Linked DNA regions of Coturnix japonica. The protein of the gene in region 1 interacts with the protein of each later gene in a pairwise test. Links are inferred from orthologs where the notes say so. Each region holds a gene or a part of one and is shown on either strand. Other genes may lie near its edges.

Evidence for each region.
Region 2: the proteins of homeobox protein VENTX-like (region 1) and C23H1orf94 interact in binary tests that used the Homo sapiens proteins (3 or more experiments, as listed by UniProt). The two-hybrid records come from large-scale screens. The link is inferred for Coturnix japonica from reciprocal best matches to the Homo sapiens genes VENTX and C1orf94.
Region 3: the proteins of homeobox protein VENTX-like (region 1) and TBX22 interact in binary tests that used the Homo sapiens proteins (3 or more experiments, as listed by UniProt). The two-hybrid records come from large-scale screens. The link is inferred for Coturnix japonica from reciprocal best matches to the Homo sapiens genes VENTX and TBX22.
Region 4: the proteins of homeobox protein VENTX-like (region 1) and TBX15 interact in binary tests that used the Homo sapiens proteins (3 or more experiments, as listed by UniProt). The two-hybrid records come from large-scale screens. The link is inferred for Coturnix japonica from reciprocal best matches to the Homo sapiens genes VENTX and TBX15.
Region 5: the proteins of homeobox protein VENTX-like (region 1) and DAB1 interact in binary tests that used the Homo sapiens proteins (3 or more experiments, as listed by UniProt). The two-hybrid records come from large-scale screens. The link is inferred for Coturnix japonica from reciprocal best matches to the Homo sapiens genes VENTX and DAB1.

Annotation. Positions count from the first base shown.
Region 1 is NC_029521.1:18,713,680-18,719,898, forward strand, and holds the start of homeobox protein VENTX-like, read right to left. Parts: upstream 4,261-6,219; 5' UTR 1-4,260. Other genes in the region: kinase non-catalytic C-lobe domain-containing protein 1, read right to left, coding at 4,264-4,495, 4,719-4,876, 5,314-5,373, 5,476-5,598. UniProt on the Homo sapiens protein: May be involved in ventralization.
Region 2 is NC_029538.1:4,085,252-4,091,368, forward strand, and holds the start of C23H1orf94 (uncharacterized protein C1orf94 homolog), read right to left. Parts: upstream 4,111-6,117; 5' UTR 4,025-4,110; coding exon 3,792-4,024; intron 1,494-3,791; coding exon 1,024-1,493; intron 695-1,023; coding exon 525-694; intron 1-524.
Region 3 is NC_029519.1:1,462,488-1,468,918, reverse strand, and holds the start of TBX22 (T-box transcription factor TBX22), read right to left. Parts: upstream 4,014-6,431; 5' UTR 3,519-4,013; coding exon 3,383-3,518; intron 3,294-3,382; coding exon 3,164-3,293; intron 2,828-3,163; coding exon 2,726-2,827; intron 2,314-2,725; coding exon 2,139-2,313; intron 2,059-2,138; coding exon 1,894-2,058; intron 1,821-1,893; coding exon 1,756-1,820; intron 1,686-1,755; coding exon 1,600-1,685; intron 1-1,599. UniProt on the Homo sapiens protein: Probable transcriptional regulator involved in developmental processes. This is major determinant crucial to palatogenesis.
Region 4 is NC_029516.1:70,579,221-70,585,690, reverse strand, and holds the start of TBX15 (T-box transcription factor TBX15), read right to left. Parts: upstream 4,322-6,470; 5' UTR 3,977-4,321; coding exon 3,775-3,976; intron 1-3,774. UniProt on the Homo sapiens protein: Probable transcriptional regulator involved in the development of the skeleton of the limb, vertebral column and head. Acts by controlling the number of mesenchymal precursor cells and chondrocytes.
Region 5 is NC_029523.1:23,460,416-23,466,544, forward strand, and holds the start of DAB1 (disabled homolog 1), read right to left. Parts: upstream 4,138-6,129; 5' UTR 4,078-4,137; intron 3,334-4,077; exon of another isoform or gene 3,045-3,333; intron 1-3,044. UniProt on the Homo sapiens protein: Signaling adapter of the reelin-mediated signaling pathway, which regulates the migration and differentiation of postmitotic neurons during brain development.

The DNA.
Region 1 (6,219 bases):
TTGCATAGTCACCTGGAAAGCGAATCACTTCTCACTATACTTTTGCTTACAGTGAGGCGCGTACAGCATAAAATGTTGCAAGGCTCTCTTGTGCCACCTCCTGGTTATAGTTAAGACTTCACATGCAGGAAACTGCCGCACTAGGGAAGGAGAAAAGCTGAAGTTTAGTCGAGGCAGTGGCTTTCCCGGCAGTGAGGGAAAACCGACAGAGCTTGCTTTCCACTTTCCCTGAGCATACGGATGCACACGGAGGGCTTTTGCCTCTCTCCTGCTTTTAGAATTAAGCCACTTTCCCACTGCATTAACATATCTATGTAATGAAAATGTTGTATTCCTCCATAACGTCGCCTGCACGAGTTTAAGTAATGTACATTCTGCCCATGTCTATTCTATTCTGTGAAAAAATAGTAATAAAAACCTTGAAAGTTTGTGACTAGGGTGTGACAAAAGTAATAATTAGACAAAAAACATTGCCCCACTGCAAGTAAATATTTGAATTTTGGTCCAATCTACTTGACAGAAAACACAGAAAGGACTGAAGATCATGCTGAGCCCCTCTGCACTCTCAGGCACAGGAACAAGAGGATGTGTGTGTGTGTGTGCACTCATTACAATTTGATCTGAGCTGTTCTCATAAGTCCACAGGAAAAGGGATCCTACAGATGGGTACCCTATTCCAGAGCTCAACAAGACACTTCCCAATGTAAAAACTGAAACAGAATCAACACTGCTTCAAAATCAATACTCCTTGCCTTAAACTTCACAGAGCATAGAGAAAACTAGTTCTGTCCTTTGCTACAAAAAACTTTTTACAGCAACATTTCACACACACTGAATCCTACTCAACATAGCTTTTTCAAGGTCTAATTCTTTTACTCTGCATTTAAAAAAAAAATACTATTCTTATTGCTATCCTCTAGTCTTTTTTGTTTAGCATGTATGTTTCTTAAATACAGTGTTTAGATGGTAAGCTATTCCTGCTGATGTCCACAAGTGCCAAATAGAGCAAAATAATTACCTTCTGTCATATAGGGCTCTCTCATTGTACATCTCAGGTCTTCTTGCCTTTTTTTCTTTAAACAGAAACTTAAAACTTTAAACAGAATGCAGTAAGTTTTTGCATTGTAAGGATGAATACATACTGGATTGCATTTAAGCATCTATGAGAAAGGAAAATCATTTATCTACAATCTCTCTATCACTGCTGTATTGAGGACTGAAACAACAACCCACATGCCTATCCCTGAAGGACTGTTAGCTTCCTTCTCTTCAAATTGTAGTTTATTCATTTGTTATTTAGAAACAGATTTCTTAACGTTCTAATCATCTGCAAATCACTCACTGAGAAGTTATGTGTCTGAGTAACGCTTATGAAACAAATCCAACTGAGAAAGAATAGAAAAAACCATAAAAGCAAAGTATAGAATTGGTTGAAGATTTTTCAAGGAAAGAAACTTGCCGGAATCATGAATCAATGGTGATTCATGAAATATTTTCCAGTTACTTGGTCTGGCCTTCTATAGAATACTTCCTGGGAATCAAGAGAATCCATCCACGTTTCCTGACAGGCTTCTGAAAGTTGGAACTGTGGATCCTGGAAACCTGTTTTCCAATGCAGCTACTGTGAGACTAGGACACAGTTCCCAGCACTCTTGCAGGAGTCCTGAAAAACCCAGGGACCCTGGGAAAAGAGACCTGCAAAGGTACACAGAAAGAGCACCAATGCAGAGGAATGAACGCAAGGAACTGGAAAGGCTCCCATGGAGAATATTTCACTGAAGAAACTCTACAGGTCATTTGTCTGAAAACCAAATGCTGTTTTCACATGTTATGATCTGTGCTTTCTTTTAAAGGGACATTCCACTCAGAGATGGAAAAGTTTAGCTCAAATCCTGCTGCACGTTAGTTATAAATAAGCAGTACCATTAGATGCTAGACATAACTTTATTGAGAAATCCGTGTTATGTAATTAAGATGTAAATAAGATGACAAAAGCAGTCTGGTTTCCTTGCAAAGGTGATTTTCCGCACCTACCCCAGTAGATACTTACACTTGTGGTTGTACAGTGATGTCTAAATACAAAAACTTCAATATTTGTTTGATGAAAACATCCCAAAGTAGTACCATACCTCCATACTATGCATTTATAACAACAATAAGCCTGACACACTGAAGCATTATGCAGAAGATACAAAATGACTTCTAAGTTCTTGTATAGCACCAGTTATTGTCACAGAATAAAACCAATATTTTCTAGGTGTAGTAGTTGCTTTAGATCTTGATAAAAATGGTGAGACATGTAAGACCTAATTAAGGTGGGTGCAAAATATAAACGCTAAGTAAATCCACAAAAGCAATTTCAATAGCCTGACTGGCAACTATATAAAATATATTTATTAAGGTAACACGAGCAAGTTTGTGGAGTTCTTTGCAGTAGTAAAGCTTATGCTACTTCAAATTGTTCTGTCTTTCAAAGGCAAGGCGTGGCTTTAAGTAAATATTAATTTTTTTAATGGTGAACTTATTTCTGAAGATGAAGTCATTGTGACAATCTTAAATCACTCTATTATTTAAATATAGGAGGTAATGATTAAATGTTTTCACATTTGGCAATTTTTAGAGAAATATTTTTAAAATTTATTAAAATAGAAACATATTTTTCATTCTCAAGCGTGAGCAGGAACACTAACGACATGTTAAACGTACATATGATAAGTAACAAAAGAAATCATCTTAAAAGCAGAACAAACTCAAGAAAATCCAGTTGAAGGCTGAGTTTTCCAGCATCTAAACCAGTAGGAATACAAGTATCAGTCTAGAGCTACCATATTAGTATAAAAAAATAATGGAAGTATTTACTGGAAAGAACAGACATACCTTGTGTTCAGTTGAGAAAGATGAGAAGGCCTGTGATGGTATATATTGCCATCATTGAGATCAGAAAAGGAGAATCTTTTCTCTTAAACATTGGAAAAAACTACAGTTTACCATGTACACATGCATTTCTGTCAAATACAATAGTACAATCTGCAAAATATTACAGATGTGCATATTCCCATCTTTCTCCATCATTAAAACATGCCAAGGCAATTAATTCACATCTGCTTTTTCCAAAATTTTACTTTCCTTCTTTTCCTTCTTTGTTAAACACATTTCCAGCAAATCAGTTACAGGACAGAGATCCTTCTATCTGTTTCTTGCCCTTTCCCACTTCTCTTCCAATACTACTATTGTTTCCTCTGGTAGAATTGTCACCTTAATTAACTTGTGGGTTTAAGATCTTGACCTTGCATGAACCTGGGTAGCTCAACAAACTTTCTAGCTAAAGCATCACTTCCCATTGCTGTTTAGGTATCTGTAAGCATAAGCTCTATGAATAGGTTAGCACCAAAGTTTTACAAGATGCATATCAAAAGTTAATAGTTATCTCCTATTTAATGCTGCTGGAGCACTGCAATTTACAAGAGCAACCTCAGGAGCAAAAGACATAACCAGATGTGCCCACCACATACATACATACACAATTGGCAAAGTGATTGATTTTTGTACCAGACACAGAAAAAGATCAACTCATGTTTACTTTCTTCACAAGACCATGGAGGCAGCAGCAAAGCAAGAAAGTGGTAATTATTTAGATTCAGATCGTACTTTCATGTGGAAACAGGCTAGTTCAGTGACAGTAAGATGAAAAGAAAAAAAATTTTACAACATGGTATTTCCTCTCCTTCCATTGTATGCTCAAATGAAAAGATAGACAATTATAAACCATCATGCATGGTTTTATAATACTCAACATAAAAGCAAAAACCACCAACAGTCAACAGATAGTAGAGACGTCCCTGAATTATATGCACATCATGATAGGATACAAATGTACTATGTTTATATAAAAATATATTCAACACTAAATTAACATAGTCCAAATAATCCTAGGACAATTTTGCAACAGAAGCTGCAAGTATAAGTTGCTACCACAGTACTTTTCAGATATTTTGCCTGTTGGCTAATTATTATTTTATGCAAAAGGACAGTGACAAAATTAGTCTCTTTACTTTTCACCTTTATCCACTTGCCAAGGAATCATACTTCATTAGTCAGCATTTCTTTTTTTTACTATTCCACGTTAAGTAATATACCCATTTCAAACTGAGACAATATTTTAAGTCACTTAAGTATTTGTTTGGGAATTGGTTCAGGAAGTAAAGTCAATTTAATCCGGTATTATACTCTATACTTGGAATAGAACAGATGAAATGTAAATAATTACTGAAATGTTGCCTTCATTCTGCGCAGCGTGTCCTGGATTTTCCGAGAATGTTTTTCTGCTGGTATATGATGGAAGTTGGCACAGTTGTCAGCGGCCAAAGCAGAAATGTCTGCATCCTTAAAACGAGTTATTCTTTGTCTGAGGTAAGACTGCAGCTTGTAATCCGGTGTAAATGTGTAAGGATTCTCTTGAAATGCGTGAACTTGGCTCACAACTTTCGCAATATTTCTTGAAAGAAAATATGTTTAAAAAGATTAGTTTATGTTGCTATTGACAGAAGAAAAAAGTTTCAAGGAAATAAAAAAGCACTGAGCATTTACCTCTACAGTTTTTGTCCACTTTAATGTAAAAATGACTGAATTAGCTAGACTTAATTTGCTAGATGGGAAATGCATTAGCTCTCATTATCTCATTAGATAGCATTCTATCTTTCATACAGCTAAATAATTACCTAAGTTTAGTCCATTTGTGAGCTCCATTTGTCATTGTGAATCCTCCAGTTTCAAGTTGTTGGACATGCATAGCTAAAACATGGGCAGATGGAATTGTTGGAAGTGTTTTGAATCTTTCTCCTTCCATCAAACACAAACTGTCACTTTTTAGAAACACCTATTGTGAAAATGCACACAGATAAGTAACGTATTACATTTAAGGCTAGTCTTTATAAGGAGTTCTTCGCTTCAGGTGCTGAGCACTACATATCATATTTTTCATAAGTTCTAGTTCACAGCTAAAATTGCATTTCAGGATTTTTCAGAATATATTACATTCAGAAAACTCCCATTTCTTGAATTCTTCAAGAAAATATATCTAATTTCGCAGTTTGCTTTGAAATGACTTTCTTGATTCTTAGTCACATGGGATACATTTTTGAGAAAAACTGAGGTGAAAATGTAAACCCAGACCAAGAAACAACAGTCTGACAATAATTTAAAATCTCCTTTGTAATTCAAAACACTAATTTTGGCTTTCATTACTCCTTTAAAAAGAACTTGAGTCTCCCTCACTCCCAAAGAAATATTTTATTTAAAGACCACATACTATACCTCAACAGCCTTGAGTTCTTCTATTATTTCAGCTACTTTTGCAGGTAGAATTTTCCAGGCCTTATAATAAAAGAGAACACATTTTTGTTTCTCATATTAATGTCCATATTTGAACAAGCTTATTTTAGGCAAAATAGTTACAACAGAGAGTCCCAAACTTACTGGCAACTGTCGTACAATAAGATTCTCCAAGCCTGCTAGGATTTGCATTGCAGTAGCAAAATTTCTTTGTTCATAGCAGGACTTTGCTATAAGAAGAAATTTTGATAACAAGCTCACCTGCAGCTGGAAAAAAAGAATTTAGTTATACCATTTTTTGTTCTGCTCATGTGGGTTTAGAAATTATTACATTCAATCATTTGCTAGGAATATGCTTTATTCGTATACTGTCTGAGCTTGGAATTGGAAATTAGGCCTAATGATTTCATGGAAAGAAGTATCCTTGCAAGTCGTGGAAGGTACTAAGCCCAAGGTTTATTGCAGGTAATTTCTCAATTCTTACAAGGCTGAAAAGTCACTAAAAAAAAACTCCAGGGGGAAAATGAAGACTAAATACTTCCCATTTAAATTTCCTCACATACAGTGTCTGATACTGGTCATACACATTTAAAAGCTGTCAAAACACATCAACTTCATATGACCAATCAGTACCAAAACATTTGTTTAAAATTTTCTATCTCATATGTGGTTTGAGAAAAATTAAAAATAGGGAAACCCAATATAAACCCAATAAATAATCCAATAGAAACTGTGATAAGGGAATTGAGTGGTTAAGTGTATGACCTCTGAGAGTTAAAATAAATGAATGTGAGTAGATGCAGACACAGGCTTTTTACAGTGGTTAGAAAGAAATCAAGTGGTAGCTGCCTAGTAAAATAGAGACACATGTTTACTAAGATATTATTC
Region 2 (6,117 bases), on another chromosome or scaffold:
GGGAAATTCTGGGGCTGTAAACCATAGGTATGTACAATTCCCATTCTTTCATTCCTTTTGACTTAAGCATTTGCCATCTTAATAACCTTAGATGGCTTTTTCACTTTGATTTGAGGTCCTGTTTCGCCAGGCAAAGAAAGCAAGCAGCATCCTGTTGTGCAAACAGAGCCACCGAGTGAAATATCCTTAATGAATTATTAGCTCAAAATATTTGTAATACAGGATAAATATTTGTAAATGCAACATAAACATGGAAACTAATGAATGCCAAGAGAGGTCAGCATTCAGTATATGTCAATAGAACATCATCCTTTGATCACTAACATCTCAGAGGACTGCATTACATTGGATGTTAACACTGATGGCGAACCAGTGTGATCAGTCATTGTAGGACAGCAGCCTGGTTTCTTTTAGGCTCTACCCTACAAATCAGAAAGCAGTTCTCATAGCAGAGGTAGTTGCTGCCCTGAGCTTGTCAGTATGGGCCTGGAAATGTTCTAAAATGTGGGTTTATTCAATCTTACCTGAAAGGGTGGGTAGTTTGGCTGGTTTGGATATAGAGGAAGTGGAGGGAAGCTCAGACTCGGCCACATTGGCTGGTTTAAGTTTGTGGTGGTTGTAGTAACGGGAAAGTGTGGATTGGAAGTGCTGGCATTGTATATAACTATTTTTTTATCCAGTGCTGCAGTAGTTACTGTAAAACAAAACAAGGGTGAAGATAATTAAGCATTCCCTTCATTAAACCATGAAGCACTTGCAGCTAAGGGGATGCACTCCCTGTGAGCAAAGTGTTTAAGATGCTTTTGCAGGCTGTATTTCTGGAGACCCATGCTTAGAAATGAGCAGATCAGATTCACATGTAAGGCCATTAAACCCCAACCCACAGGACCTGGAATGAAGTTAATCTCCTGAGCTGTAAGAATGACTGGAATGGGGCAAAAGATTCTTGTTTTGAGCTCTGTAAGAACAAAACTATCTGAGACCAGGAAATTAGCACAGAAGAAACTGTGTCCTGATCCATACCTGGATTCTGCAGTGCCTTTGTGGCTGCATTGGAGTCAGGTCTGGAGCAAATCTTGGCAAGTGTTGGGAGCTGCTGCTTCTGTCCTGCAGTTTGACTTTCTGCCATCAGAGCTGGCACAGCTGTGCTATTCTTTGCAGCACTGACAGTGCCATTCTGGAAGAACTCTTTCATTGTCTTGCTTTCCTCAGCCATGAGTTGCCTGTCTGGACCTTTGGCAATATCTGTGTGCTTCAGCAGCAATGGCATCCCCAGCTTGTTGCCCTCTGTGCTACCAGCACCTGTTGTGCTGTTGTCCCCCAACCCCTTGGAGATCCTGGGAGAGCTTGTTGAACGCAGGAGGTTGGTGATGGTGGATTTAGCAGAAAGCTGAGCATCGCAGAGAGCTCTTAATTTCATCTCTCTTTCTCTGTTTCCAATCACTGCTCTGTATATGCTCTCAAGTCCCTCTGTTTCATCTAGCAACCAGTCCCTGTAAGAATGTGAAATATAGGGATTCTGTTGAGAGCTTGACATTAGATTGAACTCATTTTCTTGACTGCTTCTATGCCTTGCATTTCTGTTTCATTTATGCTCCGTTTAAGCCTCGAGTATTCCTTCTCAACCGGAATGAAACCTACCTCCAGGACACTGTTCTTCTCCAAAGAACCACATAAAATGGGAAAATTAAAACAAAATCTGAACTTAACACACCTATTTGGGAATAACTGAAGTTGGGTGATGGCGTTTCAGACTGGAAGCCATGAAGTCCTCTAGGACTTACAGTGGGGTGGCTGCCAGGGCTGAACAATGCTGTGTCTCTAAGGCACAACTCAGTGTTTGTAGTGGTTCCCTACTCAAAATCCTCCTTTAAATTCCACGTTGCTCTTTCACAGCCAGGTATGTTCAATAACTTAACGTATCATCCATTTACTCTCCTCAGCTTGAGGGGAAGTGATGCTCTGTGCATGCACTGTACAGATACATATATAGTACATAAATGGATTGCTAATATTAGTGAAATCTGGATAGTTAAATGTAGCTAATTATCTCTAATCATAGGATCACCATAATTGGCAGGATGCTGCTTTATCTCCCTATTTTTAAAGAACAGATACCTTAAAATCCTCAACAAACCTATACTATGGGCATAAAAATAGAAAATTGCTGTCATTTCCAAAGAAAGCTTATTTTCTACAATGCTTTATCCCATCTTTCACTGGGATTCCTCTCTCCATTGGTGGTTGCAGCCACCTCCGAGGCTGGAGGTGGACACCTGACCTCACCTGTAGGGATTTTAAGGAAGTTCCCTTGAATTCTGTACAGCGATTTGGTTTCATTGCTTCAGGTTTGGTATTTTTGGAAGGTTCATTGACTCAGGGGGGTGTCTTTGAATAGCTGGTGAGCAATGAACTGCACTGTGTGAGTGTATGCTGAGGGCACTTCTTTGCTGAAGAGCCTGTTTGCTGAATGCAGGGAAATGCTGCTGGCAGAAAGGGTCAGAGCAGCTGCCCAAAGTAACTCAAAGATCAGCAGGAGAACAATGAATCATTTCTCTGACCCTGAGGAAGGTGCTTTAGCCACTGCGCTTTGCTGGCTGTTTAATTTCATCTTAGTTGGAGGTGTTGAGTTTGTTACAGGTCCTTGCTGGTTGTCCCAAATCGTTCTTATCTGCTTCCTCAACCCCATTACAGTGGCGTGAGGGTGGGCTGCAGGGTGGGCTGCTCTCACTGCATTAGATTAATTGCTAAAAACTGAACCTATATATTTCTAATGGTGGCTTTGCTTATGTCGTTTAATAGTTCACAGTGGTTTATACCTTATCTCTTTGCTTGGACTTCCAAGCAGCTGGCATGACCAAGTTACGTGGCTGAGCTTGTGCTAATTGTCAAGATGTTTCAGCAGCATAAGTTGACCTGCTGCTGTAGGCCAGTGCAAGTCCATTGGCTTCACTGGTTATTCTTGGGTTGTTTGGTTTCACTTTGTGCATTTATTCTAGGCCAGTTATTACTGTTATTGTTATGGATATGGAAGGGAAAGGAAAGGAGTCAGGGCTCCAAGATGTACTCCCTGGGTTTCACAGTGACACAGCATAGGGCATTTCCCCTTCTGATCCTCCACGTCTTCAGCTAAAAGCATCGAATTATCAGCTTTCTCAATCTGTGATGTTAGTCTTAAAAGATACGACAGCTGTTTTTCACTGTATCAGGCAAGATGTGTGACTTAGGCTTTAAGAAGTGGACACGAGCTAATAACTTGCTGATTGATAGCTGGACATGTAAATTTCACTCTTTTTCTACTTCAGGAGCATACAGTAAATATTATCCCATTAATCTGAAGAGCATCCTTCCCTCCCTTATCACCATTTGTCCCGCAGAACATGATTTGGCATAATTTTTTCTGTGCTAAATTCAGCTTCTCTTTGTAAAGATCAGCTGTTTACAGTAGCTTCCTTATAACACTTTAATTTTCGATTTTGTTCCTTTTGAATGCTGCTTTCACTTCTTCCTGTAAATATTTTGATGTGTGTGTAGTTGTTTTGCTTTAAATGTTGTGGGGAAGCAAAAGCAGCAGCTGCTTGTGGTGCTTCAGATTTTCAAGTAGCTGGCTTTCATGGGACAAGCTCTCCCAAAAAGACTGGTTATATTGGGACAAATGGGGATACTCTGTCCCATTAAGAGGCTGCCCAAAGCCAACACAGCACCCCTGTGCTCCAGCTCTCTGTTTCTAGGGGTTATGAGGGCTCTGTTGGAGTCAAGCCCCTTGTCCTGCAGTGCTGGTGGTCACTCACCCGCTGTGGGCACCGTTCTTGCTCCATGGGGGTCCCTGTGGGTCCATGCAGATGATGGGCTGAAGCTCCTCGGGGGGGCTCTGCATCCGTTTCCAGATCTCATGGCAGGCCTTGTCCAGCCCGTCTTGGGGCGTGTTGTCGTGGATCCAGATGTGCCGTGGGTATGGCCCCAGTGGGAACGGCCCCTCTGATTTCACTGCTGGGGCTGCAAACCCATTTATGCTGGTGAGCATCCTTCAGCCTCTATGCATCCAGGCTATCTTCTTGAGTGGTGTTTTGTTTACATGGCAAACGGAAAGAAGAGCCGTGGCAACCACGGAACGCCAGGTCCTGGCAGTTGATAACTGAAATATCTGCTTGTCCTTGGCACAGCTGGGAGCTTCCCCTCTCATAAACTAGATCCCTGTCTTTCCAGGGTCAGCATTCAGCTGTCCTGCCCCCTTCTTTCTGTACTGGAGCTTTGCCTCTTCCATTTAATGCGCAGGTGATGAAGCTCCAAAGAGCGCATGGCTCTGCTCACTCATGCCTCTGCCCAGATAAATGTTATTTTCTCCCTACCAATAGTGATGATATGGTTAAGAAAGAGTAAAATGTGGTAGTTAGTAAGATGTTTTGCATTCCTATGCTGGATGACTAGTGGTGAAACTCTCTCAATTCCTGGCATAATTCCCTAAGTGTGAATGGTTCTGTGGTTCCTCATTCATCACCAAGGGTTGTGTTTGTGATCTTCATTGGGGGGAAGAGAGAAAGGAGAGTCCAAGGGACATGGGTTGGGGTTTGTGCCTGGTATTGGCATTTGTTCTATGTGCCCTTGCCAAGCTCTCGGGTTCTCAAAGTTCACTGTTTGGGCAGGGAGGAGAGATGAGTTGCAGTGATAGATGTTGGCTATGGTGATGGATTCTACGTTCATCACACTGCATTTAGCAAATAAATACTTTTTATTCTTAAAGAGAGAGTAAGCTTTCGTTGCTAGGTGTGGGGCCACGCTTAGTTGGGAGCCCTTCATTTGCAATAGGTATGGCGTTATTGCCCAGGAATAAAGTGGGACTGTGTCTCCTCAATGACTCGATTATGCTGGCTGCTTGCTCCCGGTGCGGGGCTCCAGACCTTGGCTCGGCTGTGCTCTGCTGTGTGCAGCAACCCAGTTGCATCTCCGGCTACAGCCTGGGGGTTGGGGGCCGAGGTGGATGGCTGTGTAAGGGAGAAGCGATGTATAGAGCTGTCAAGTGTGGTACCCTGTTCTGTGATCCTTTTCGATTTGGATCCGTGCCTTTGAACAATAAGGTCTATTTGAATAGGACACTGCAGTTTAAGCAGACATAAAGCAACTCTTTCATGTAACAGCGCTGGTTGCCTTGGCTCTTGGCATTGGCTCACAGTGTAGGCAGTGGAAGGATTCAAATGCAGAGGGGACACAGGGAAAAGGGAGCGAGAGAGAGGCTGGATCCGAGGGCGGAGGGGCAGATTTGCGAGCCCTCGATATCATTTGTTTTTAAGCTGTCAAATAAGCTCATTCAGGGCAACCGGAACGAGCCCCAAGAAGGGGGTTTTGCAGCAAAGCAACTGCAGCAAAAGCAGGGCGGGGGTTGGGGGCGGCCCCGAGCCGGGCTCGGCTGCTTCGCCCTGCTCCGTGTCGGGGGGAGATGGGGAGGATGCGAGTCTCGGTGCTGCGGGATGGGGCTGCTGCTGGCCGAGGGGTGGTCGTTGGGCAGTTGGTTGCTGGGAATTTTGGGGGGGCGGGGGGAAACGAACGACTTCTCAGGGTGTTTTTTTTTCCTTTCTGTTAAGCTGTAGTGTCACGTAGTTGTTGTTTTTCTTGTCCGCGGATCTGCGCATCATCGCCACGATAATTAAGTTCCTCACTGTATCTTTTAAAGACCGCATTTTTTTCCTCCCCCCCGTATCTTGCATGCAGCCGTAGGGACAAATGGGCTAACAGACGCTTAAAAAACAACCAACAAGGTGGGGGTTAGAGGAGGATGCTGCTCTCAGCCCGGTCCTGGGGGGGTTATGGGGGGGCTGGCTCAGCCCGTTCCATTGCCCAGGACAGGTCAGAGCCTGGGGCTGGTCCCTTTTATGTTCCGCATTTACCCAATTTTGCTTCATCACCAAAATCGTGTCAATATCATCAAGTTGTTTACCGGGGGGGGGGCTGTGCTGCTTCCCAGCTGATGTCTTTGTAGCGGAGATGCTCTATGTGTGTCCGTGGGCAAAATGGGGGGGGCTGCCACGCCAGAAACCTGTGGCGTGCATTAAAAAACAAATGCCTAAACATGCTAAAGCGTAATTTGCGGCTTGCTGGTGGTGCTGGGGCGGGGGCTGGTGG
Region 3 (6,431 bases), on another chromosome or scaffold:
AAGAAGAGGAATAGCCCGCAGTGGGTCAGCAGGTGCGCCAGCAGGCAGCTCCGTGCCACCGTGCATCCCAATGTCACCAACTGGGCAAAAGGGAGATTCATCAGTCATCAGAAAGCTTCTCCCACTTGTCTAAGAAATACCCATGTGTGTCAGACCCCATCAGTGTGCCTGAGACAGCCCCACACCAGCTCTGTGCCCGCTGTGCCAGCGATAACCGCCTCCCATGACAGCAGCACCGTTATTTCAGGTTCCCAGTTTTCTGTGCAAGTCACAAGCAGCTTTCCCCCCTTCTACGTGAGAACAAAAAGATACATTCAGCCCAATGAAGAGTTTCTTGTACCTTCCAGCTCACAGGAATTGACTCATTTTCCTTGGATCCCCATGCAATTTGAGACGTACCCTCGAATACTGTAGGTGTCTCCTGAAGCCGTAAATGCACACAGCATTTTGACATTCTCTTTTAAGAAAGAAATGAACGAGCACTTTCCCATCCAGAAAGATGAGCTCTCTGGGTGCAGCCCGTGCCCAAAGCAGCGCATCACTCAACCCCCATACAAATCTGGGCATGACAGTGGGAAGAACAGAGCAACTCAACGAGCAAATTCTTTTTGCTGTCCCTATCAGGCTTTAAAATCCCAGCTGATGACCAATTATTATATTTAGCTTATCATTTTTAATTTCTCTCCTGGCTTTCAGGCTCCAAGATTGATATTTCTTCCCCCCCCCTCCCAGAAATACATTTTTCTTATCAGCAGAGATAAGAATTCTATTTCCATCTTTCCAGAATCATAGAACGGTTTGGGTATAGAAGGAAGCTTTAAGACCACCTCAAATATTGGCCCTTAGGAAAAATAGGCATCGTGTGACAATTAGTTAAAAAATAAACCAAACCAGGTCGTAACGTTTCAGTGTCTGTGTGCCGATAACTGCAAATTGCCCATGTTCTCTCAGCCCCCACTGCTGCCCCTCTCCCTGCTCTCACACTGCAGCATGCCAGCCTGATTCCAGAGCAGCTTTTTATGTTAGAAACAGTTTGTTTTTGGTTTTTTTTTTCTATTAAAAAAATAATAGGCAAAAAAAAAGTTAAAAAATTGGAAAAAAGGGAAAAACAGGAAAAAAAGAACAAAAATGAAAGGAAAAAAAGGAACAAAGCCAGTCTGCCTTTACAATCTGTTAGACCTCTTAATTTCTCCCAAGTCTCCTTTCTGTGACTCGCTATTCTTATTCTAAACAGTATCCTCCAATGGTTTGGGAACCAATGGCACCGCAGGCCAAAGGGCACAACAACCCTACTCCAAAATAACCTCTTTCATATTTGCATATATTTACATATATGCATACTTATATATATAAGATATATATATATCTTTTTTCCTGTTAGTCTGAATCTTCCTCCGGCTTCTGCCATGTCCATCACTGCTTCCCCCAGAGCGTTCACACTGAATTCAATGGGACTTGTGGCAAAAAATCATATAAAACCACAGAATCCCATACACTCACGCTTTCACAGCCTCAACCCCACACCCATTACCCCACTCAACCCTACAGCCTCGTCCTCCTGCCCACAGCTCCAACCTGGCCCTGCATACCCAGACTCACCCTGGCTGTCCGCGCTGAAGGTCTTCAGGTCCAGAGCGAGTGGTGGCCGCCATGGGAAGGGCTCCAGGAGCCCATCCAGCACTCCCCTGCAGGTGATATGGGGCTGAGAGCCAGGGCCAGGCCTCAGGCTGTAATGGGGGGTGGCTGAGCCATTACCTGTTCCTGCCAGGGTCCCGAAAGCCTTTGGCGAAGGGGTTCCTATCGATCTTCAGCTTGGTGATCTGTGGGTGGAAGTAACATCTCAATGGGGCCACTGGGAAGCGGGAGGCTGGGTGGCCGCAGCCCCGTGGGTACCTGCTGGTTCTGGTAGGCTGTCACCGTGGTGAACTCGGTCTCCTGGAAGGAGAAGGTGTGCACCCCCTCAGCCGGCAGAGACTGAATCTGCGCCAGGTCGAAGCGGGAGTCCTGGGCGATAACATGGACACGGGGCTTGTATTTGTGCATGGACTGCAGGATGATCTGTGTGGGCAGAGAGGGCCAGGCTGAGCTGCTGCCCGGAGTCCCACTGTAGCCCCACTGCATGGCTGCCCCACACCTACGTGACCCTTGTCATCCATCTCGTTGTTGGTGAGCTTCACCCGGTCGAAGCTGATGATTTGCCTCATCCATGTTTCCCCCGAGCAGGGCGAGTCAGGGTGGATGTAGAGCCGTGGTGTGATGCAGGAGTGGTCCGTGTTCCCAGCCACCATCCACTGTGAGCTGTGGTAGACGTACCTGCACCAAGTGGGACACCATCAACACACTGTACTCCTGATGCGCCAGTCCATCTCCCCATCCACTCCTGTGTCCAACCATATATCCATACATCGTTCCAGTATTTCCATCCATCCATCTGTATGTCTGTCCCTCGGCCCATTCCTACATCCATCCATCCATCATTCCATTCCTACATCCATCCATACATTGGTATGTCCATCCATCCATCCACCACCCACCCATCGGTCCACTCGTACCTCCATCCCTCCACCCATGAGTGTGTCATCCATCCATCCATCCACCCTTCCATCCATCCTTCCATCTATTCATCCATCCATCCCCCATCCATCCCTCCATTCCCACACCGCAGTGAAGCTGTTGGCCATGCAGAAGGGTCCATCTCCGCATCCACCATTGGAACTCACCATACCTGTACCGTTTGGAGTCCACTGGCACAACGTCGATAGCGATGTAATACTGCTGCAGTGGCTCCAACCCCTTCACCTTCACCCTGACCGATGGGAACATCCGCCTGCATGGGGCACGGGGCAGCAGTTAGGGAGTGCCCATAGCGGGGGTTGTTTTAAAGAGGTGAAAATGGATTGAAAGGTTAAACAGATACTGGAGAAAATAATAATAATAATAATAATAATAATAATAATAATAATAATAATAAAAAAAAATGAAATTACAACAACAAAAAGTCCCACAAACGTAGCAAAAGTAAGTAAATAAAAGAAGAAGAAGATGAAAACAGTGAGGGAGAGCTGAGAAAAGAAACAAAAAAAGGAATGGGTGAGATGCAAAAGGGAAAACTGAGCGGGAAAGGCTGAAGGCAGGAACGAGGCCGGGGGGCCGGGGCTGCTACCTGCCGGCCTTGGTGATGATCATCTCGGTGCCGATCTCGTGGAACCTCTTCCAGAGCTCGGCGCCCTGCAGCTCCACCTGCACCTCGTCCCCCACCTCCCGGCTCTCGGCGCCGGCCTTGGGCCGCTTTTCTGCGGGGAAGAGAAAGCGGAGGGAGTGCTGGGGCGGCTGCCGGGACACCTCAACGGGACTCCCCCCGCTCTGCCCCGCCGCTACCAACCGGGCTCTGCGGCTCTGCGGCTCTGCCTGCAGCCCGCCCCGCTCTCCTCGTCGCGGCCGTCGGGTCCCTTTCTCTTGGCCGAGCGGCCCACGAGAGCTTCCACCGAGAAGGCGTGAGCCCGGGAGCTGAGCGCCATCCCCCCCCGCCCCCCACAGCCCGGGCCGGGCTCCCCCCGGGCGGCCGCTGGGCTCAGGCGGGAGGCGAAGCTCCGGGCGGCGGCTCCATGAGGGCGCGGTGGGGGCCCGCAGTCGGCGGCCGTCGGGGGGCAGCGGGCACGGCGAGGTGCTCCAAGTGAGGCGAGAGGAGGCTGCGGCTCTCACTGTTTGTTTTGGAAACTGATGGGAGCGTAAGAAACATTGAGTGACATTTGGTAGGACTGGGACGGGGGGAGGAGGGGTGGGAGGGGAAAGGGAGAGGCGAGGGGAAGATGGGGGAAGAGGAGCCGGCCCCGTCTAGGATCAATAAAAGAGTTACTGTTCTCCATTAAATTGTAAAACTCAAAGAAATTTGACATAATTGCACACCAGGGGCCACTTTCCCAACAAAAGTGCAAATAACGTTTAACCAGAACCAGCACAAAAAAAAGGAAAGAAATGAAAAAAGAACGAAGGACGGGAAAGAAAGGGGAGGTGAGGATGTTGGGGGGGGGGGGGAGCAGAGGGAAAGTGGGGAGAAACCCCCACGCTTTGGCTTCCCCCGATGCCGGCTCCGGGCTCCTGCTGTCCCGACGGGGCCGCTCCCGGCGGACCTCGGTGTCCCCGCGCCGTGTGTCGGCGCTGAGTGCCGGTTTTGCCTCCGTCGGGTTTTTTCTCCGCACCGACTCCGGGTGCTGCCAGAGCTCCGTCTTTACACGTCCGGCGGCGGCAGCGGCTCGGAAACGGAGCCTCGGTGGGGCAGGGAAGCCTAAGGTCCCGCTCCACCACACGACTCCTGCATCCCCACATCCGTTCTGCAGGTACACTCCAGAATCCAGTCCCACTCCAGCATCCCAATCCCGCTCCTGCACCCAGGTTCTGCTCTTGTATCCCAGAATCCTGTTCCCACTCCAGCATCACAATCTCACTTGTGTCTCCCAGTCCCCCTCAGTGTCCCAATTCCATTCATGCACACCAGTCCTGCTCCAGCATCCTGATCCCACTCACACATCCCAGTCCCGTTTCTATGCTGTGCTCTCACTGCAGTATCCCTGCAGTGCTGTTGTGCTCCAGTGGCACCCACATCCCAAAGCAGATGGGGGCTGCAGCCAGGGGCTTGGAAAAAAATAGAGGAAGTTCAATCTGTGGACAGTGTTGGTAAAATATCAACTGAGGCAGGTGAGCCTTCAGGAGGGAATGCGTTGAGTTGGTGAGGTGCAGGTGGGGATGGGGCGGTGGGAGCACTGAATGTCAGCCCTCTGCTGATGTATCCAATATGTGTCAGTGCCACAAGCTGCTGCTGGCCTCACAGCCCACATGAGGATGCACAATATTGAGGATGTACAATACTGAGGATGCACAATACTGAGGATGCACATTGCTGAGGATGCACAATACTGAGGATGCACATTACTGGGGATGCACAATACTGAGGATGCTTGTCACTGAGGTTGCCTGTTACTGAGGATTTTCGTTACTGAAGATGCTCATTACTTTGCTGAGAGCGGGCTCAGCACATTGATCCTCATTTATACTTGTCTATACCCATCTGTACTTCTCTACCCAGAGAAATGGACCACTCCTTAAGCATGTTGGTAATTGGAAGGGGGTTTGTGGGGTCCCTCCCTTCCCAGCACTGATAGAAGCCAGCTGAGCTCACGGGCCGTGAACCTTTATCTCTGCTGACATGACAGATTATTAAGAAGTATTTCAAGTAATCTTTGATTTCCTCAGCATTGCAACACATTGCAAGAACTTGGAGTGGGATCAAGCGGCCCCTTTTTAATTTCCTACAAGGAGAAATAAAACAAAAATAAAGCACAATTGAGACGACATAATCAGGAACATTTTGTGGGTTTAGGTCAGATGAAGGCGGCAGGGCTGTGTTTCCAGGGGCTGCTTTCATTCATCCGAGACCAACTCAGAACCCCTCCCTGGGCTTTGTCAGCTTATTGTCCTTAACAAATTGCGGGGTGGGATGTCATATGTTTCCATCATCAGAAAATGGAGTGGAGAATCCCTTGGCATAAAGTTCAGATGAACTAACTCCGTTTTGAAGCAAGTCTTGTGCGGAACGTTTGCTATCCAAGTTTGCTTTCCAAGATCCTGGATAGCGCCCATTAAAGCATTGAGGCACACAGGTAGATGCCAAAGCCTGGCATTGCTGGCCGTGCTGGGGCTGCCATGAGGCATTTCACTGCGCTGCAGCAGCGCTCGGTTTTGCCCAGATTCACTTCAAATTGAAAACAAAACGAAACCAAACCAAAGGAAAGGACGCACAGCCGACGCTGGGAAGACAGAGATCCTCTGTGCTCCGTTACGCACCGGTGCCGTTCATCCTCTGTGCCTGCACCTGAATGTCCCGAGCTTATGTAACACCGTGCTGATAAATTTGGCACTGTCAGGTCTAACAGAGGAGGGCGGAGGGCCATTCAGTCTCCGTTTTGAGAACCGTGAGCAAGAAAACCTTTCTTTGCACGTAATGTGAAACAAAGCCCTGTTTGCTGACTCTGGAAAATCTCCACTCACAATGTGGATGGAAAAGTTGTTTTTATCTCGTTACGGAATTACGGGATAGAAACCTCGAGACTGAATCCGTGCCCACGGGTATCAGACACAGCCACAGGGCAGGGCTGGGAGCGCGCTGCTCAGCTCATTCCGTTGTGCTGCGGGAGAAAGGCGAGCGAGAAGCTGACGGTGCACAGCGCAAATCGCGCTGTTTTCTTGCTGGAAGAGCTGCATCCCTGCGCACCGCCGCTCTCGGCCACAGGGAGGAGCGGGAGTTTGCTCTGGAGCCGCTTTACAGCTGAGCTAAGGGCGGCTCGGAGCGGCTCCGTGCTGGGTACTGCTGCACCGACCTTCCATTTCTCTAAGCACGGCCGCTTCATCTGAATCATTGAGCCATTGCTCCTCAG
Region 4 (6,470 bases), on another chromosome or scaffold:
TAGGAGAACGTGGTTTGATGCCTCTTCTCTTGGTTCGCACCCCAACGAGGGCGATGGGACCGCACCGCTCAGCTCTGCGCACTCTGTGCACCCCGTGCAGAGCTCTATCCGGGATCCCGGCCCTGCTATGGCCGCAGCCCGAGCCCCTCGGGTTCGCATCGCCGCGAGTGGGATGTACGGGGTCTCAATGGGGTGAGATGCTGCGAGGGTGGCCTCCGTGTCTCCTACCCGGGAGGGTGCAGCGGGTGGGAGGGAGGAACTCCTGCAGCCCCACTCAGAAGTGAGACGGAAAACTCGGTGCCAGACCCGGGGTGGGGGGTTCTGCCAAGCACAAAGCCGACGTTCCTCTGCTCGCAGCTCGTGGTGCCGAGGCGCTGCTCAGCATCAGGGCCAGGGCCTCTGCGATCCTCTTCTGCCCAACACAGGCAGAGACCACAAAGCCCTCCGGAGCCCCACGCCCGCATTGCTCCAACAACAGGCAGAGCGAAAAGCCGAGTTACCCCGTGGGCACGGCCACAAACGGAGATGCACCAGGCTGAGCAGCCAGAAACAGGCGTGTACGTCGAAACAAAGATAACTAAAATTAATCGAATTAATTCATGCTCTGATAACTCGTTCGCCCTTGCAGCGGGCGGGGAGCCCCGGTCCCTCTGCTATGAGGCCCCCAGGCTGGGTGCGCGTACCTGGGCGTGCCGAGTTCTGCTCTCGCATTGATCAATACGGCTTCGGGCAGCGCACTGGAAAGTAACTACGTCTTCCCGGATGGACAAAAATAACACTTGCTAAAATGTGGGGTTTTGAGGGGCTGGTTGGTTTGTTGGGTTCATTGTAACGGACGTGTTCATTTTCATTACTGTTATTATTATTATTATCATTATTATCATTTTACGAGAGATGAGGGTGCGCGATCCCGAAGGCTGTAGCGGCAGAATTCGCTTAGGAACGCGCTGCCGCCTTTCTATGTCTGTGAACGCCACGAGCACCGAAACACACGGAACTGAGCATTTCCAACCTCACTCTTTAGCTCTGTCCCTGGAGCTCCTGCGGGTCCACCCGTGTGGAGCGACCGCGTTTAGGAGGAGGAAACCCCGAACTCCCATCGGAACTTTCCCCAGTGCCGGCTGTCGGCTGTTCGCCGGGCCGAAATCCGCCCTCGGCCGGGAGTTAATCAGAGACACAGCATCGACAGGGCCCCGCGACACGCGGCGGGGGCTCTCGGCCCCGCAGTGCCCCGCGTGGGGCTGGGGCAGAGCTAAAAGAGCCGCCGCCGCCCACGGCCCCGCATCGCTCTACGCGCGGCTCCTCCCGGCGCTACGCGAAGGCCGTGGGAGGCTCACGAGGCTCCCCAGGCAAAACACGGTCCCCGACGCTGCGGCACGGAGGAACGATCTCGTTTATCTCACGGTACACGCACGCCGAGACCGGGGGAAAATCCACGACAGACTCGGTAGCCGAGAGATGAGGCATCCCAAGAGAGGGGCGGAGAGGAAGAGGACGGAACCTTCCTCAGCCTCCCTCGGGCGGCACTGCGTTCCCCGGGGCAGACGAAAAGCGGCTCGGCGAAACCCCCCGGGCTCGAAGTGAATGTTTGCGAGAAGTTCGATAAATCGGGGCCCGTTCGCTCTCTGCTGAGCCGGATCGGTGCGCGATTTTCAATGCGGTGTTCGGGACCCGCACCGATCCGCCTCCGGCACGAGCGCTATAGCCGCGCTATTTCCTACTCCATTCAAAGCAGCGATATGGAATCGGGAAGGTTTGGGACGCTATAAAAACTCCCTCCTCCAATTTTTGGTATATCGCCAGAGATTTGGCGACGTTTAAACGCTCGAGGTGTAAAGTTTGTTCTTAATGGGGCCTTATAAAGCCGGAATGTGGGGGCCATTACGCGGCCGCGAACCAATTTCCACCCAGGCAGCAGAAGTGCGCTGCTCGGGATTTGGCTTTAATGAAGTGAGCGCGCAAATTGCAGCCGGGACTTCGTTTAAAGTCCATCAGGCTCCTCGGAATGGTTTCCCGAACTGTTCCTGATTTCCTTCGCTTTATGAAAAACACCACAACGGCTCGCCGGGGCCTCGGGCGTTTTGCAGCCAGTTTTCTATCAGTCTCCAGCCCGGTGAGCAGAAGTGTTGGGGTGTTTTGGTTTTGTTCGTTCGAATTCGTGGAGGATAAAAGGCAAATCAAACTTCTAGACCGACACAAATACATTGTACGGACACCGGGAATTAGTGAGAAACTGTTCTAAGAAAGACCAATGCGCGCATCTTCTCTGCCTTGGCAAAGCAGATCTTTGTCTCTTCCGTCCCGTATTTGTTAATTTGAAAGAGGAATACCCTAAAGCCGTGATTTCTCTCCTTTTTATTCTTTTTTTCTTCTCTTTTCTTTATTTCCTTATTTTTTTTCCTTTCTATTTTCAGCTGTTCTCGCTGTTCGTTGTCTCTGGGCGGCCGCTTCACTCCGTCTCTCCGGGACGGCACCGGTAGCACCGCGCAATGGGAGCGCCGTGGCCGGGACTGCGCAGCGCCGAGCATCGGCTCCCTCCGTTAGCACCCGGCTGGGTTTTTACTACGGATTTCTTTCACTTAATCGTTTGGTGATCCGTCGCACTGTTTCCTTAAGCTTCTCTACGTTCTTCACGGCGGCTTTTCGGCGGTTGATGCAGGAAAATCACCAAATGCGCGCATTTCTCACTATGTACAGTACAATATATAAATCGCAATATATACCGTGTAATATATGGATATTGCAGTAAGCGTATATATAAGTTACAAAGGGATTTAAGTGTGACTGAGCGGCCCGGGAGCGGGGGAGGAAGCTCCTATCCTTTCTCCTACGTGGTGGCAGCAGACATCCTTTGGCCTTCCCCCCCACCCCCAGCACCCCAATACTGAAGGAAGAGTAATTACCGAGAGCGACCTCGCTCCGAGCCCGAACCCCGCGGGGGGCAGCGACGTGGCCCCGTCCCGTTCGGCGGCGCTCAGAGGCGGCGCGCACCCACCCGCGGCTCCGCGGCCGCGTTGGAGGACCGGAGAGATGTGGCAGAGTGAGAGAGGGACAAGAGGAGCCCCAGGGCTTCGCTGGAGCCGGGGGAGCCCTCCGGGCTACCGTCTGCCTTTCGAATAAAATAGTACGTATAATGATGGTAGCGTATTATAAAAGTAGTGTATCATCGTAACAATCATAATAGCGTATAATAAAAACTGTACTAAATAAACACGGTAATATCGATGGTAACAATAGTCGATTTTAAGATACGGGAGCGGAGCCCCGTGTTCTCTGTCTCTAAGCAACACGCAGCCCCGTTTCCCCCATCCCGCCGCCCTCCACTCCCTCCCAGCCCCTGAGGGTCCCGAGCCGGGCAATGCGCTGCTCCGGGGCTCTCTTCCCTTGCCCGGCGCCCCGCTCGGTACCCACGGGGCAGACTCAGCGGTGACGCGGCGTTTGTGCACCCCAACCTCCCTCGGTGGTGGGGGACCCGGGCGATGCGGAGCGCGAGTCCCACCGCGGTCAACACAGAGCACAGAGTTGGGGGCAGAGGGGGAAGAAGGAAGCGAGAGGTGCTCGGAGTCCGAGAGAGATATAGGATCGGGAGGGAAAGTAGAAAAGAGCTACGGAAAAGTCACTGTAAACTGAAAATACTAAGAAGAAAAATAACACAAATCCGAGAAATCTCCGCACAACGCCTTCCCTTCTCCTCCCCCCCAATCCGCCACCCCCCCCCCTCCCCAACTCCGGGAGTTTCCCGCAGCAGCTGCCGGAGAACGGAGCGGCACTGACCGGGGTTGAGGTCCAGGCATTGCGTCGGGTCCTCGCCGTCGCCCAGCTGGCCATTGGGGCTGAGGCTTTCCATGGACAAATCCAGCCCCTTGTCTTCCCAGTCCCGCAGTTTCCTCTTTTTATTCGTCCCAATCAAGGCTTCGACCGAGAATGCGTGAGCTCGGGAGCTGAGGGCCACCGCAGACCTCCGCCTCTCGCTCATCTTCCCCCCGGCCCCGGCCCTGGGCGGACGCGGCCCCGAGGCTCCAGCACCAGCGGCACAGCCCCGTCCTACATGGGGCTGCGGTGCTCCGCGGGGCAGAGCTGGAGGCTGTGCTCTGCTCACAGGGGCAGCGGGCCGGGTTTCATCTTTTTCTTCTTTCTTTTTTTTTTTTTTTTTTTTTTTTTTTTTTTTTCTTTTGCCTTCTCCCCTTTCTCTCTGTCTGTCTCTGATTGATCCAAACTTCTGGGAGTCGGTTTTTTGTTGTTGTTGTTGTTGTTGGTTTTGTTGTCGTTTTTTTTTCTCTCTCTCTCCGAGAGTTAGGCAGGCTGCTTGCGCCTGTCAAAACGGGGGGGGAGGGAGAGGGGGGGGGGAAACCACCTAGTGAAAATATATATATCGTTGGCCAATGGGAAAGAGGGATCGGGAGAGACCCAAAAGCTGTGGACCAATGGGAAAGGAAGGAGAGCCGGGTTTCGGGACGAGGAATTTTGGCCGTCCGCGGCCCCCGAGCACCGGGCGGGGAGTTAACCCTTAACGGAGCGCCTCGCTCTGAGTGCGGGGAGGTGTCCGCGCTGCCTACGGGGTCGGGAACGAAGCCCCCGAAAATTAAAAAGATAAGCAATGTGAGGTGTTGGAAAGAGGCCTTAAAAATCTGGGGGTGCTGCTTAATCGTCATCCACACCGTGTGCCGTGGGGTCGGCAGTGGGGTTGGTGGTGGGGACTTCTTGCTGTTTTGAAGTGAAACTTGCAATGGTGAATGGAGTTGTTATTTTATTTTATTTTATTTCATTTCATTTCATTTCATTTCATTTCATTTCATTTCATTTCATTTCATTTCATTTCATTTCATTATTCGATTTTATTTTAATATTCGATTCCATTTTTTTGTTATTTAATTTAATTCTATTTTACCGTATTTTAGTTTGATTTTTATTTCTTTATTTCTGTCATTTTAACCATTGAGCGAACGAACCCTCCAGGCACAGCCTCGGGCAGCGGTAGAGATGGCATCGGCCCCTCTGCCTGCTCTGTCCCAAACCCTTCGAGCTTGCAGAGAAGGGAAATCGGGGCTGAACTACGAGAGCAGAGGGCAGCTCTATGATCAGAGAGCGGGGATCCGTGCGATCGAGAGAAACCCCGACTGGGGAAGGAGTAGAGATAGTTACATCTCGTCCAAGGACCGAAGGGAGGCTCTGGATAAACAATAAACAATAGAATTATTTCTATAGGACGAGCTTGGCTTAGTGTAGACCGAGCCATTTAGGGCAGTGGATCGCGGGGATCGACTTTTGTGATCGGAGGCTGCGGAGCGCAGTGGGGACGAGGGTTGGGGACGTCTGGCGACACTGCAGCGGTGCCGCGATTGGGGGTACGAGAAACACCTCGGACATCTCTGCCCGACCTAAAGCGGGGTCCTCCTGGGTTCGAGTGGGGGAAGGGGGATTCGGGCCGAAAGGCGAGAAAGGAACGATTTCCTCGGGAAACGCCGACAAAACGGAGTGCCGCTCTCTAGGCCGAGGAACGGGTTTTGTGCGGCCCCGCCGCCCGCCCCGCACCCCCCGCCGCTCCTTTCCCCTCCCCTCCCCTCTGGGGCATCGCCTCTGACGGGTCGCGCCCGGCCGGGGGTGCCCCAGCCCGAGGGGAGGGAGGTCGCGTTCCGGATCCCGGGGGAGAGGGGGGAAGCGGGGGGAGAGCAATGCGCTCCGAGGGAGCGTTCGCAGGGGGCCGCGGCGCAGCGCCGGCACCGGGGCCGGGACGGAGTTAGGGCCGCACAGGACACCGCCGGCCTCAAGCCCGACGGAGAGGGGCTGTGAGCCCAACCAGAACCTGCTCCCTTATTTACGAGAGAACACGGAGAGCGAAGAGGGCTTCTAAAGGATCTGGAAGGGAGATTTTAGGAAGAGAACCCAAGAAAACATAATTATTTATAGCGTTTTAGAGAGAGGAAATGGTGTTGGAAAAGAAGCTCAATTTGGGGGGCGATGCATGAACACCGACATAGATTTTCCTGGGTTTCAGCGTGGTTTCGCGCAACGAGCGTTTCCAGCAGCCCCAACTCCTTCCCAGTCCCTGACCGAGGGGCAGAGACCGCACTAGGAGAGCCGGGAGCGAGGGCAGCGCCCAGCACCGCTCCCACCCTGACCGAGCCCGGGGGGCAGCCCCTCCGCCGGCCCTTCGGCCTCAACCTCCATTAAATCCAGGAAACCGCTCTCTGGAATCGAGCAGTGGGAGCAAGGGGTCTCAGGGCCAGGCCACGAGATGCAGAAAGTAATAATTCTCTCCCGCTCCTCCCCGTTGCCTGAAAATATTTGTTTGTGGATGGAAATGTTTGCAAAGGGGAGAAACGGGGGTGGCGGCAGCGGCGGAGTGCTGCACAGATGTGGTGCTCGCGGGGCTGAGCGCAGCCTGCAACACTTCTGCACTGCTATGGGGTACGGCACCGAGGGTCCCGCAGCAACATCGAGCACAGGGAGTCCTTATTCTTTCCCCCCCC
Region 5 (6,129 bases), on another chromosome or scaffold:
AAATAGTTGCTATTTTTATTAGAGAAGATTCAGGTTCACACAGTTGGATGGAAAATCATGACCATAGAACAGTTTAGAGCATTGTTCTCCTGAAACATCAGTTACTTTTCAGTAAGCTTCATCACCTTGGTTCACTATGGACGCTACATAGTGATGCAAAGCAGATGTGTCCAGAAAGCACAGGGGGCATGGGGTGGGTGACACACTGACCACAGCAAAACACCTTGTAGGAAGGCAGAACATTCATGTCTTCCTCAGCTGAAGCTTTCAAATGAGATGTAAAACAGAGCCCTGACCACTCATCGTCATTAACGATCCCATGGCAATTCCTGCAAGAGTAAAAATGTTAACTAACATGTCCTGGCCAATATCCAACTCGGATAATTGCATTCTGCTTCCTAAATTCCCCTTACAGTTTCAATTGGATTAGTTTTTCTTCATCTCTCTTCCCCAAACCCCTCCTGCATAATGCTTCCAGCCCACGACGGCTGCTGAATTCCACTCCAGAGGTGCATGAATTATCAGTGTTGGGCAATCCCAACATCCATTTGGATGCGTTACTCAGAGAAAGCCCTCCATGAGGCAAAGTAATACCCTTACGGCTCTCACTGAGGAATATTTAACTTTTCAAATCAGAAATCCCAGTGACGTCAGTAGGATTTGTTTTCCTTATCATACGGCACAGTTATTGTACAGGTACCATGGCCAGTGTCCCACAATTGAGCGCAGTCATTTGCCGCGCTGTATCCACAGCTTAAGGACCCAGAAGTAGTTGCTCCATCTTAATAGATCTCTGCTACATTAAAACTAGAGTAAATAAATATTCACACAGCAGTTTTTCATTGAGTCAGTCACGTTTAAGTGTTGTAAGAATCAAAGAAGCTCCTGCTGAGCGCATCAATCTGCAGATATAAAAGAGGAGTGCATGCGCATGTTCTTGCATGAGAAATTTGGAAGTTCTTTATCTTGGCATAGCAATGAAGAAATTTAAGGGCTGTGAAACATGGATCTCCTATTATTTGTGATGGGTACTATACGTTAGGTACTTGAAATAATGTGATGGCAAACTGCAAAGTCCTGACCCAATGCATTTTATGGAACAGGAGGAGGAAAGGTGATTTATGTGCATAAGAGCAAAATCTGGCAAGCCCTTGATCTTCTTGTAGAACAATCCCAAAACGATTGTCAAGATTGCTCAGGTTTCTCATCCTCTGTATTTCTTGTAATAGAACAATTTCAACCAAAATGGTGTTTTATAGACACTGTTTAAGGGGTCATTTTCATTTGCTCTCCAGGTTACTCAGAAGAATACCTTTCATTCCCTGTTCCAAGAACTATAATCAGCAGTTGAGAATAGCTTGTTTTCATCTCCAGCCTGCTTTGCGTGCCTGGCAAAGCATCAACCCACAAACTTGCTACCCACTTCACTCTCGAGTGCTCCAATAGCAGAAGGACATTTAAAGTCTGAGAGTGATTGCAAGCAGAATGCAATCAGAAGAAGAAGGAGCATAGAAAACATCATTATGTCACATTTTCCCTACAATTTTTGTAGCCCTCCTCCATTCCCCCCCACCACCATTAAAACTGAACTCACTTAATAGAGGTTGCTTTGAAAGCATCCACACCTGCCAGTGCTGGGTTGGGTTTGTTGCTTACATCTCTAAATAGCGTGGAAGGGAGCAATGTAGACTCCTGCAGTTCAACAGCAAAAACTCATATTACTAAAGCATGAAATTGGTGAAATTAAGAGTTGCCAACAGAGAAGCAAGCACGGTTTAGGCTCATCTGATCCATGCAGATGGATTCACATAAGAATATTAAGTAAGAATCAGGTGGTGACTGAAATACAGACTACATTCCTGACCTTCATATGGTGCTGCTAAGGAGAAAGTTGATCATCAAGAGTGACCAACTTCTTGTTCCTCTTGTGCTGTCATTCTGGGTACCAGTCTCAACTCCAGCTCATTCTCTTTTGCTGACATCCATACAGGAAACAATGCCCACCCTCAATCAAACATCTTCCCACAGTTTCTTCCAATGGAGAAATGGTCTTGAGCTGGAGGACACTCAAGGTAAGTAATTACTGGCACTTCTACAGAAAACACAGGATTCCAGCTAAGTCCATTCATTGAAACGTAATTGTAAAAGCATCTAGCTGTTCATCCATGACCTTAGCTTTATGAGCATCTCTAATAGGGACTGCAGTACCATGTCTCTATTTAGCTTCTCCTTCCTTCCCACTTCCTCCCAGGACAATTCTGCCTGGAGCAGATACATTGGAATTACTGCTCTCTACAACACAGCATCCTCTGCCACAACAATCAATAAAAAATTAGCATGACTACAGGAACAGAAGCTTGGGATTAGAGAAATCTAAGAATAGAAGGATTTCCCTCCCCATCCTGATGAACCCTTCCAAAACCCATCTGCAAACATTTTAATTCCCTATCAGCTTGCTGGAGGAAGTCATTAGAGAGGCCAAATTATCACAGTGGCACGTGGTGCTGCCTAAGTGTCTGTCAGTCAAGGAAACATCAGCCTGCAGGTCCCCCCCCCCTGCACCCTCATTCTCCCACCCATGGCAATGGTGCTTAGAGCTCTGCTTGAGCGATGGACCCGACGCTGACCTTCAACCACGAAGCAGGGTGTTATTTCAGCTGCTTATTTCAGGTCCCACAGACACCATCACCAAGTCATAAGAAACCTTCACTGCCTGATTTGCAAATGCCACCCATCTCAGCCATCTCCTCCTTCCTTATCCCCGGTCCTCCTTGCCTCCATCCCCAGTAGCACCACAGACACTGAACCACCCAAGGAAGACAACCACGGCACCGTGAGCTGCTGCTCAGCACCAGAACATCACTCTGCTTAGCGAGGGAAACACATGCAAGGAAAAGACCTTCTTGCCAATTAATTAACAGCAGAAAGCAAAAGCCAGAAGGACCTGTTGCAAATAAATAAATAAATAAATAAAAATGAATTGATTCCGAATAAAGCTTCGGGTGGGTTGGGGGTTTGCTTTCCAGGTTTCAGCTCACACTTACCGCTCCCATGAACGTTTAATACCACAATTAAAAGAACACAGTCAGTTCAGGTCGGAAATCCAGCACGGTTATTGCTCATAGAAGTACTGAAGCCGCGTCGCTGCAGCACTGGAGGGTTATTTGCTCCAAGGACCTTTTTAATATGGCTGTATTGTAACACTGCAGTGCAAATGCCTCTCCGCTCACGAGAACAAAATTCAGCTCAGAAACAACTCGTGGGCTCTGACGAGCGGCACGTCGGCTTCAAGCCGCGCTCATCCAACAACGGCGTCATCACACGAGAGCGATGCTAACGGCTCCGGGCAGCACTCGGAGCACACAGACAGCCCCCACCCCGGGCACCGACACTGGAGCAGCGGCGGAGGGACCGTATGTGAAAGCAGGACGGCACAGCAGCGCTGCTGTTCCCCGCAGCCAGCCGTGCCCACAGCTGCACCCTGCAGCCCTCATCAACCCATCCCATCCCGGCGCTAAGCCCGAAGCCGGAATTCACAGCACCGCGACTCAGACCCCGCGGAGTCACATCCCGAAGGGGTTACGCCTAATTGCTCACCAACCTGACCAAGCGGGCACCTCCGTTAGCAGCGGGGCACAGCGAAGGGCTGAAGGGCAGCACCGCGAGGAACGCGGAGCCGACGGGGGACAGCAACCGAGACAGACACACAGACACACACACACGGCACGAGCCGCCCGGTGCTCACCAGCCCCAAGTTCCCCCGGCAGCTGCAGCGCTGCCAACGGCTCCGCGCCCCCCACGCGGGGCTTTCCCCGCGGCCACGCAGCTCCGCCGCCCCTCCGTAACGGAGCAGCCCGCAGCCCCCGCCTCCCTCCTTCCATCCCTCCTTCCATCCCTCCTTCCATCCCTCCTTCCATCCCTCCTTCCATCCCTCCTTCCATCCCTCCTTCCATCCCTCCCTCCCTCCGAGCGGCCCAAACTTTACACACAAGCTCTCCCCCGCTCCACGGCCCCCCTTAGTGAGCCGGGACCCCCGTACACACACACCATACAACCCGGCCGCCTCCTCCTCCCTACCTGCAGCCCGGCTCGGCCGCCCGCAGCGCCGTTCTCATCCTCCAGCGGCAGCGGAGCGATGCGCGCACCCGACTCCGCGCGCAGCTCCGCGCGCAGCTCTGCGGCCCCTGCAGCCACCGCGTTACCGCATTCCCCCTAATAGAGGGGCGAGGCCGAGCCTGGCAGCATCCCCCCGCCCGGCCGGGGGCAGAAGGAGGCGCCCAGGGGGTGAATGAGGGACCTGGAGCAGCTCTCAGCGCAGAGATGCGGAGGTGGTGGGACCTGGAGCATCTCCCGATGGGGACAGGGTGACAGCCACGGGGTTGTGCTAATGGGGAACAGAAGGCTGAGAGTGGATCTTAACAGCCCTGTTCAGTATCTAATAGGGGTCAGGGGGATGGGATGGGGCTGGGAGCTTTTCAGCCATGCTCAGTGACAGAATAAGGGGCAATGGGCACAAGGTGGGACAAAGTTCCATCTGAACATGAGGAAGAACTTTACTGTGAGGCAGCAGAGCCCCAGCACAGCTGCACAGACATGGTGGGGGGACTCTCCTTCTTTGGAGAGATCCAAACCCACCTGGATGCATTCCTATGCAGCTGCTGTAGAGAACTGCCGTAGTGGGGTTGGACTGGGGAAGTACAGAAGTTCCTCCTGACCCCTGTGGTTCTGTGGATCTGAGACAGCATTTTTCACAGCCCCAACATCTCACCAGCACCCCTGTGCCATGTATCTGTGACAGCACGGATGGTTTCTCCTGCCTGTTAGGATCCAGGTGCCAGCCCTGAGCCATCTGATAACAGCTGCTTCAGACACTTTGTTATCCCTTAGTTATGGACAATAACAGGTGAACAAAACTGCTGGACAGCCTATGGGACTGAGCCATACCCTGATTGCCCTCCTTATCCTTAGTTGCTTCCAGTCTGCTCCTTTCTGGGGTTTAGGAGAATGGGAAGAGGATCCACGCCAGCCCAACCTGCTCCAATCCCACCACATCCCCATTACAACTCTCAGCACAAAACACCTGTCAATCTCATGACCTGCATTCTTCCACTGTTTCCAGACCCCTGCCTACTTTTAGCAGAACTCCTGCTGAAGTGGGGGAGGGTGGTCAGTTGGATTTGGGAGGGGACCCCATGAGAAACTTGCATGGAAAGAGCTTAACCAGACGAGTCAGTACAGAGAGCATCAAATATGCAAATGCTCATCAGCAATCCCATCCAAACAGGAACCGGGAACTGTCTGTAAGAGATGACTGCATGAGGTCTGTCTGCAAACGCTGTTAATTTCTATTCCTTAACGCAGATGGCTGAGCAAAAAGCCCAGGGATGCTGTGAAGGAGAGTGCTGGTGAGCTCACACAGAGCTGCTGAGGCTGTGTGCCTCCGAGCAGCAAGGAGCAGAGAGCTGGGAACGAGGCAGGAAAAGCAGAAAGGAGGGAATAATGCTGCAGCCACAACCACAGCCAGGGAAGGGCTGTGCTCTGCTTGGGGCAGGCAGAGCTTGGCATGGAAATGAGGTTTCCCTGTTACGTTACTCAGCAGCTACAGCACACATTGCTCTGAGAAAGCAGCATGCAGCACGGACTCTGTTGTGCTCAGCTGTTGTTCAGCTTAACTCAGAGGTTCCTTTAATTGCAAGTCAAAAAGTCCCATGTGGTAATGAAAGGGTTAAGAAAAAGCTACTTTCACCCTCACATCTTGACAGTGACATCAAGGTCTCCCTGCTTCTGTACCCATAGCACATTTCCTTTCCAAGTCTCACCATTATGGGCTTAGAACCAAAAGTATCACCCATGGTGCTAGCAAAGATCCCTGAAGCCAGGCATGCAAAGGCCCCCCATCTGAGCAGCTGGGGATGCACTCTGCTGCCCTTTGCACCCAGGCACAGCTAAGGGTGCCCCAGGTTAGGGTGCCTGCTTGACCCAAAATTGCCATGAGGAAATCACACCTACCCAATGTACTTACCCTCAGCAACTCTCAGACACGTAACTTCCAGGCAAGCGTGAATGCAAATGTCTGCCAAAAGAGAATTATGACTTGCCCTGTCATCACCTTCATCACAGCCGGGGCTT